Drosophila melanogaster: one gene and its partner. The protein of the gene in region 1 purifies or fractionates together with the protein of each later gene. This does not show direct contact. Each region holds a gene or a part of one and is shown on either strand. Other genes may lie near its edges. The genes, in order: Prosbeta4R2 and Prosbeta7.

Evidence for each region.
Region 2: the proteins of Prosbeta4R2 (region 1) and Prosbeta7 purify together in Drosophila melanogaster (affinity purification with mass spectrometry, with the first as the bait; one large-scale study listed by BioGRID). This does not show direct contact.

Annotation. Positions count from the first base shown.
Region 1 is NT_033779.5:2,653,439-2,657,841, forward strand, and holds Prosbeta4R2 (proteasome beta4 subunit-related 2), read left to right. Parts: upstream 1-1,955; 5' UTR 1,956-2,021; coding exon 2,022-2,118; intron 2,119-2,180; coding exon 2,181-2,716; 3' UTR 2,717-3,664; downstream 3,665-4,403. Other genes in the region: Prosbeta4R1 (proteasome beta4 subunit-related 1), read left to right, coding at 1-407; Or23a (odorant receptor 23a), read left to right, coding at 705-1,420, 1,472-1,895.
Region 2 is NT_033777.3:5,356,237-5,360,158, forward strand, and holds Prosbeta7 (proteasome beta7 subunit), read right to left. Parts: upstream 2,129-3,922; 5' UTR 1,840-2,128; coding exon 1,688-1,839; intron 1,621-1,687; coding exon 1,119-1,620; intron 1,048-1,118; coding exon 895-1,047; 3' UTR 776-894; downstream 1-775. Other genes in the region: CG1161 (uncharacterized protein), read left to right, coding at 189-344; Cerk (ceramide kinase), read right to left, coding at 2,922-3,051, 3,112-3,314, 3,743-3,922. UniProt on the Drosophila melanogaster protein: Non-catalytic component of the proteasome, a multicatalytic proteinase complex which is characterized by its ability to cleave peptides with Arg, Phe, Tyr, Leu, and Glu adjacent to the leaving group at neutral or slightly basic pH.

The DNA of each region.
Region 1 (4,403 bases):
TGCACTTCATCCGGAGGCATTTGTCCGCCTATTTGAAGAGCGATTGCACGTTCCAGGTGTCGCTGTTGGTGGGCGGATACGATTTGACCAGCGGTCCCGAGTTGCACTACATCGATTATTTGGGTAACTCGGTTCCCGTTCGGTACGGTGGCCACGGAGCCGCCATGAACTTCTGCACTCCCATTCTCGAGGAGTTCTACAAACCGGACATGGATACGCAGGCAGCCTATGATGTTATCAAAAAGTGTGTGATTGAGCTGTATAAACGATTCGTTATCAACTTGCGCAACATAGATTTGTTCCTGATAAGCAAAAATGGCATAACAAAGATGAATAGCATCAACCTGGAGTCCCTTAGAGGGGATATCTTAGCTGGTCCCAAGCGAAGGATATTAAACACAAAATAATAATCGAAGCCCTTTATATTTTTTGTAGCTTATCAAAGATTCATAAAATTTGAATGAAAATAATTTAATATAAAGCTCTGTATTAAGTGATATATAGATACTCCTTTGCTGAATGGCACTCAAAGGGTGTGCATTTTCCCAAGTTTTGGGAAAATTATATGCGACCCCTCGATAATGATTTAATTTGCGATTTAATAACCCCTGACTAATGGCGCAACTGACACAGAAAGGTGATATAAATGGTCGAGGTCCTTTTGAAAGTATGCCAGTGAAAAAGAAAGACACCAAGAATTCAAAATGAAGCTCAGCGAAACCCTAAAAATCGACTATTTTCGAGTCCAGTTGAATGCCTGGCGAATTTGTGGTGCCTTGGATCTCAGCGAGGGTAGGTACTGGAGTTGGTCGATGCTATTGTGCATCTTGGTGTACCTGCCGACACCCATGCTACTGAGAGGAGTATACAGTTTCGAAGATCCGGTGGAAAATAATTTCAGCTTGAGCCTGACGGTCACTTCGCTGTCCAATCTCATGAAGTTCTGCATGTACGTGGCCCAACTAACAAAGATGGTCGAGGTCCAGAGTCTTATTGGTCAGCTGGATGCCCGGGTTTCTGGCGAGAGCCAGTCTGAGCGTCATAGAAATATGACCGAGCACCTGCTAAGGATGTCCAAGCTGTTCCAGATCACCTACGCTGTAGTCTTCATCATTGCTGCAGTTCCCTTCGTTTTCGAAACTGAGCTAAGCTTACCCATGCCCATGTGGTTTCCCTTCGACTGGAAGAACTCGATGGTGGCCTACATCGGAGCTCTGGTTTTCCAGGAGATTGGCTATGTCTTTCAAATTATGCAATGCTTTGCAGCTGACTCGTTTCCCCCGCTCGTACTGTACCTGATCTCCGAGCAATGTCAATTGCTGATCCTGAGAATCTCTGAAATCGGATATGGTTACAAGACTCTGGAGGAGAACGAACAGGATCTGGTCAACTGCATCAGGGATCAAAACGCGCTGTATAGGTAATCCTACTATCTCTATGTTTCCAGTTCTAATACTCAATCTTCCTTTAGATTACTCGATGTGACCAAGAGTCTCGTTTCGTATCCCATGATGGTGCAGTTTATGGTTATTGGCATCAACATCGCCATCACCCTATTTGTCCTGATATTTTACGTGGAGACCTTGTACGATCGCATCTATTATCTTTGCTTTCTCTTGGGCATCACCGTGCAGACATATCCATTGTGCTACTATGGAACCATGGTGCAGGAGAGTTTTGCTGAGCTTCACTATGCGGTATTCTGCAGCAACTGGGTGGATCAAAGTGCCAGCTATCGTGGGCACATGCTCATCCTGGCGGAGCGCACTAAGCGGATGCAGCTTCTCCTCGCCGGCAACCTGGTGCCCATCCACCTGAGCACCTACGTGGCCTGTTGGAAGGGAGCCTACTCCTTCTTCACCCTGATGGCCGATCGAGATGGCCTGGGTTCTTAGTAGCCCAGTCATTTCACTCACATTCTACATCAAGTAGTACTACCACTGAACACGAACACGAATATTTCAAAAGTAAACACATAATATTCACAATAGTGTATCACTTTAATAAAATTTTTGGTTACCATGGCGATGGAAACTATTTTGGGGATCAAGGGACCAGACTTTGTGATGCTAGCATCAGATACAATGCAGGCCAAATCGCTGGTCTTCATGAAAGATGGTAATCACGCCCTTTTTGTTTATCTGATATTGGGAACTTATATAATGCCAATAAATTTTTAGACCAATCAAAAATCCACCGACTATCAGACTTCAATATGATGGCCACGGTGGGTGATGGTGGCGATACCATTCAGTTCACCGACTTCATATCCAAAAATTTGCATCTGTACAAGATTTCCCACGGATACCATCTAAGTGCGAAGTCAGCTGCCCATTTTACCAGGAAAACACTGGCGGATTATATAAGGACCAACACCAGATACCAGGTGGCAATGCTCCTGGCAGGATACGATGCGGTTGAGGGACCTGACCTCCACTACATCGACTCCTATGGCGCTGCTCAGTCAATCAATCATGCAGGTCATGGTTGGGGCAGCATGTTCTGTGGCAGCATTCTGCAGAGATATTGGAACTCGAAGCTCAGCCAAGAGGATGCCTACTCGCTGATGAAGAAGTGCGTCCTGGAGATCCAAAGGCGACTGATCATCAACCAGCGGAACTTTGAGGTGTATGTAGTGGACAGCAAGGGAATGCGCAAGATGGAGGCCATCAATCCAGGATCCCTAAACAAGGAGTCGATAAGCCTGAGTTGGTAAAGCGGAAAACATTAAAGCCATGCTCGGTGCAACTCCTTTGCTTCATAAAGCATCCTTTAATGCCTAATAATTGTGCAGTTGGTTTTTGGCTAACTTTCACTGCGATGCTCGAACAACTTCCCAGGGATTAGTTGACGTGACCGGTTGGATTTGAGTGGTCAGTCGGAAGAGGAGGAGGTGGGTGAGTGGGTATGCTACATGCCATGGTCGACTGCCTCCGTGTATTAGCATATGTGGCCTGCTCTTGTTCTCCATGTGAGCCATCTGTCTGAATGTGTGTGGCACTGTATTTGTTTGTGCAACAATGAGTGAAGCTGCACTCAAAAAGAATTTATACATTAATAAGTCTGCTCTGTTGCATAGGCATAGTCATATAGGCACATTCCACTCAAATGGTCCCGTCTGCCGGCAAAAGATCGTCAGATGTTGGTATGAAATATTTTTTTTAAAACGTATGCATCTTGATTTTTCCAAGTGCATGCCTCACAGACAGGAAACGCATACGGCTGCGAATCGGAAGCAGAAAAGCCAACATGTCTCTATTTCCCATTTGAACAGCAGTCCGTCAGAATGTCGTTGGTTTGGAGGAGTGAGCGTAGTCGCCAGCGAAACTCATAAAAATGAGCACAGATTGCTGCAAAAATGCACTGAATTGTTCGCTGCTTGGCAGAGGTCTGAGTGTGAGGGTTTTCCGAGCTGTGATGCCTGCATTTTTCCGGATTTCTATGCTAGTCAGCGGGTTTTGTTTGTCCGCCAGCGTGGCAGTTGCCATTGCTAATTGGCCGCACATGACAAAGTATCGCCAATTGAGTGGATCGCCCACTTGCGGTGATCGGAACCATGAAATGTCAACAGTGACAAAGAAAAGGTAGCGAACGCGTTTACCTCAAAGGTACCGGTTTCGGTGCAGTAACTAACTGGCTCCGAAATGTATCTAAACTACAATTTAAATTACTCGCTGCTTTAATGGAGAATCAATTTCGAAAAGTAAATACCATCCATATACTTTAAATGTTTGTTTTAATTACATTTTTTTGGAACAGCACTTATCAAGCTTAGCACGTAAAACGAATGCCATTACAAATTAATTAGCATTTATGCATGGGACAAAAAAAAAACATTTATCTATCTCGTCATGCAATATAATTTTATGCGAAAACTAATGTAAAAAAGTCGAATATCAATTATTTTCATGGCTTGCTTCTCATTTTACTTTAAGTTTCCCTGTCGCACAGAGAACTTTTCCGCAGAAAACTTTTGACATGTGAGCGTCTCAAATGAACGCGCCTGTCTCAGGACACCTGTCTCCCTTTTTTCCACCTGAAGCTGTGAAATATATTCACAATGCTGTAGGGGAGCAACTTTGGGGGCTGGTTGATAATGTGCATGTAACCCCGAGTCACTCCCCCATTGTCGACCCCCCCCCACCAATCCACCACCGTTCCGACCGGCAATTTGTGACGTTTAAGGGCGCAACGAGGCAGCGACTTCCTGACAGGACATTAACTTTCTCGCATCTTCGCAGTCGTGGCTCCATCCGACTGTCTCGCTGCTTTCTGTTTGCTGTTTGCGTGTGACGACTCTGATGATGATTCATGATGATGATCCTTGCAGTTTTCTTCTTCCCTGTCATTTTTCATGGCCTCGGGGGCAGTGGCTTGGGTTAGTTGCCTTTTTCGACAGCCTA
Region 2 (3,922 bases), on another chromosome or scaffold:
GTTGGCAATAAAGAAGCACCACTCTTTTGAATAGATTTTAATTTCCACAACCACCTTTGTTTCATTTTGCGTTATAGATTTTGTTGACTTTCTAACCCACACCGTCACTTCATTAAGACAGTAACTAACACGGCCAGATCTTGGATCACCTCGACTAATTCCACATTTTTCCACCCTTTTCTAACCAGGATGAACCAACGCCGCCCCTGCCAGCCGTCAACAACCAGGAGCTCAGTGCCAGAGCCAATGTCCTCAATCGTGTGGGCCACCAGCAGGACAAGTGGAAGCGGCAGGTGCGCGAGCAGAGACGCCACATCTACGACAGGCATACCATGCTAAACTAACAAGGGGTTCGGTTTGCAGCTGGCGGAGATTAGGAGGCGCATGGGCGACTTAAGACACGTATTCCAAGCAGTTATCCTTTGCGAAATTCCCCTTTGGATCAAATTGATTATCTGTATATTTAGCCAGATTTTATGTTAATTAAAATAAACCAAAATATGTTTGTCAGGAGTGTTTGCATATTAATTAATAAGTTGAATGCCGGGAGGAATAACCAACAAATCCACTAAAATAAAACTTTTAATGATAATTGATGGTTATAATTTGGGAAAATAAGGAACGTAAGACCGTAATGGTGAGTCCAAGTTAGATTTGGAAACTCCCTTGGGCTTCTTAGTTTGACGCCTACTTTTTGATTCCATCAGTAGAGATTAACGAAAGAATAACTCGAAGATAGTTTCTATCACACAATAACCATAACTTTAAACGTATTATTTTCAGCCACATTTATTTTTAATAAATCATGTAACCACATATCCTTAGACAAGTGTTTTTTTTTAATGCAAAACCGCCGAGCTAGACCTAAACTAAGTTCATTCAGAATCGGAGGCTCTAGTATCCCTTTATGGTTTCGGCGAATGTCCAGTTTTCGTTAACTTGGAAGGGCCCCTCCACGCCGCATCCGTTGACGCTGCACACGCCCACAGTGTATTGGGAAATATTACGAGTATCGCGGTAGTAAAGCACCTCCATGCATGTGCGGATCTAGAATATAAGAAAATGGTAGGGTAGTTAAATAATGAAGAGTCCCCCCATCAGAGTTCGAAATTCCTTACCAGTTCGGAAGCTTCTACGGCGGTAAAGTCCCTGTCCTTGGGCTTCTTCTCACGGACCAGCGGAACGGCCAAATGGCGGGCAAAACCAGTGGCCACCACGTAGTCCTCGTAGGATCGTCCACGGAGATCCACGTTGGCCAGGTACGGAGTCCCCTCGTTGTCCACGCCGCCGACAACCACGTCAATGTAGAGGGGGTTCATCCGCGAACGACGGTTGTAGAGCACACGGGTCATCCAACTGGCCAAGGACTTGGGCTTCATCTCGATGTTGTCGTCGCAGCACTGGTCCTCGATCATCTTCTGGTCGATGTTGCGCTTGATGGACTGGATGTCAGCGAAGTCGCCGCTCCCGCCGAGCAGGATGTTCTTGTTGACCTTAAAGACGCGCTCAATGTTTTGGTAGCGGGCCATGGATCCGTAAGACACCAGGGTGTCGGCGGCCAGCATCACTCCTGAATCATAGCGAATGCCAAGCACGGAAGTGCCCGTGGTGCTGGAAGCACTGCGGAATAGTAAAAGGAGTGTAAACAAGTGGTACATCTGCATATAAACATATCCGCAGTTCCTACGTGCTGTGCTTGGTTCCATAGGGTCCCATTGTGGTCAGCTCCCGCGGTAGCTGCTGGACCGGCGTCTGTCCGCCCGTGAAGTTGTAGAACTCGCCGGGAGCGGGTCCGTTCTGCCACATGGGCTGCGCTAGGCTGTTGTAGTTGTTCAACATGCTAATTTATTCGGAGACTGGAATAACGCGAGACTTTGAAATGTTTGTCGCTGCCGGAGAATGACGGGCACAAATAAAATCAAGAGTCAGCGCAGTGTGAACAGACTTTAGGCGGGCGGCAATACCAGTATCGGCAACCGGTAGCTAAAAATACCAGACATACCAAAGATGAATCCACTATTAGCTTGGTCACACCGTTTTACATGTGTTAAATTAAATTAATTTGAAGTTTAATTGTGAACTTTTTAACATTTTATTAGATGTTGATGTTAAAAGTAATGTAAAACAGTTAACACCACGCTGCCTATACTGAATTTGTTTTTTTACTTTTGTCTTTATAATCCTCGTTGATAATACAAATCAAGGAGAAGAAAGATAAGAAATTAAAGAACTTTTCACTCAATTAGGATTAAGACTCATGTATACCCGTTGCTTCTACGGTATTTACTACTCCTTGAAACTAAATATATGTTTAGTTAATATATAATGACCATTTGCTTTACTTCATTTTAAGCCGTTCAATGGTCATTAAAGTATAAGAATCGAGAGCAATAAATGTAAATGACGTTTGGAAATTATCCTGGTCAATCTACAAATCCAATATCTCCCTTCTCTCCCTTCGAACACGATTCTCCATAGCTTTTTAAGCGGAATAAGGTTCTTTTGCTAAAACTTCTGCTTTTATTCATATTGGTGGGAAAAACGCACATGTTCCGGATTGTTGTTTTTGGGAACCCAACGAAGTTTTTTATCATAACATTTGATCATATAAATTAATAATAAAGAATTATAAATTTGAAGACATATAAATACATTTTTATTGCCAGTATACCAGTACACAATTTGTAAATATATAGGTATGTGCATAATGCTTCCGAGGGGAATGTTTAGGTTGCTGCCGCATCTTTCAGATGCCATAATACAGTCGATAATATCAGTTGCTTTATTGAGCTATGCTAAAAACAATGACGGGGAGACCCGCTCTTTAACACGATACATATACGAATAAGGATACCCTACGCAAAACTAAGAGCTACATGTCACGGCCAACGATTGATGCTAATTCTATGGGGTTAAAGCTTCTAGTCCTTGCAGCAGCAGTAAACATTGTCGCTAGAGCTAGCTGGGGTTGTGGGCGTGGTGCCGCCCTTGAGGGGCTTGCTGTAGGAATGGGGACCCCGCATGAAGACCTCGATGAGCTGACAATGCGATCTGCCAGATACGGAACGGTTAATAAGCGATTTATTGAAGTTAAAGGTACAACCAACTCACCGCATGGTTATGTCCAGGTCGGTCACCACCTCTCCATCACAGTTCCAGCTGGAAAACTCCGTCGAGGAGGAGTGGGCGGTCATTTCTTCAGGCGGTGTAATCGGCTGACAAGACCCTGCCAAGCTGTAGTCCTCCTCGCTGGCAGAAAAAGTTCTGAACCGGAATTCCCTTGTGCGATATACCTCTACAAAAGGCAAATTGCGCTGCAATGGGAAAATGTTTTTAAATATTTATTGTTTTCTACAAAATTTAATTGTATCCTTTTATTTTTCATTTATATTTTTACAGTAAAAGATACCATCGCATTCACTAGATAAAACATTATATTGTTGAAACTGGTCAAGTATATACTTTATATGGATGCCACCAGAGCGGCTAGTAGATCTTCGTAAAATAACCTTTCTGTCACAGATTTCCCTCGCTTCAATCCGAGCTAGATGGGGTTCGGTTTTGGGTTTTTGGCTTTTAGGATAGAAAGCACTAAGCTCAGCTTGTAGGCTTAGGGGATTTGGCAATTAAAGATGCAGTTAAAATGTTATGGAAATGTTATTTCAAAGGAAATGGACGCCTCTTATAGGAAAGGTGTTCTTTTGGATGTGAAAGTTGAATAGTTGTAATAGTTAGTACTCACAATATCACCACTTCTGCCCGCCGTGTTGAGCAGAAAACGCACGTTGTTGAGCAGTGAGGTCTTTTTCACGAGAATCAGGTCCAGGCAACCATCACCCAGATGACTGTAACGGGAGATGCCATTGGGACTCCTGGCGCAGGCGCAGGTTATGTTCGCGCCGCAGATCATAAAGAAATTGCC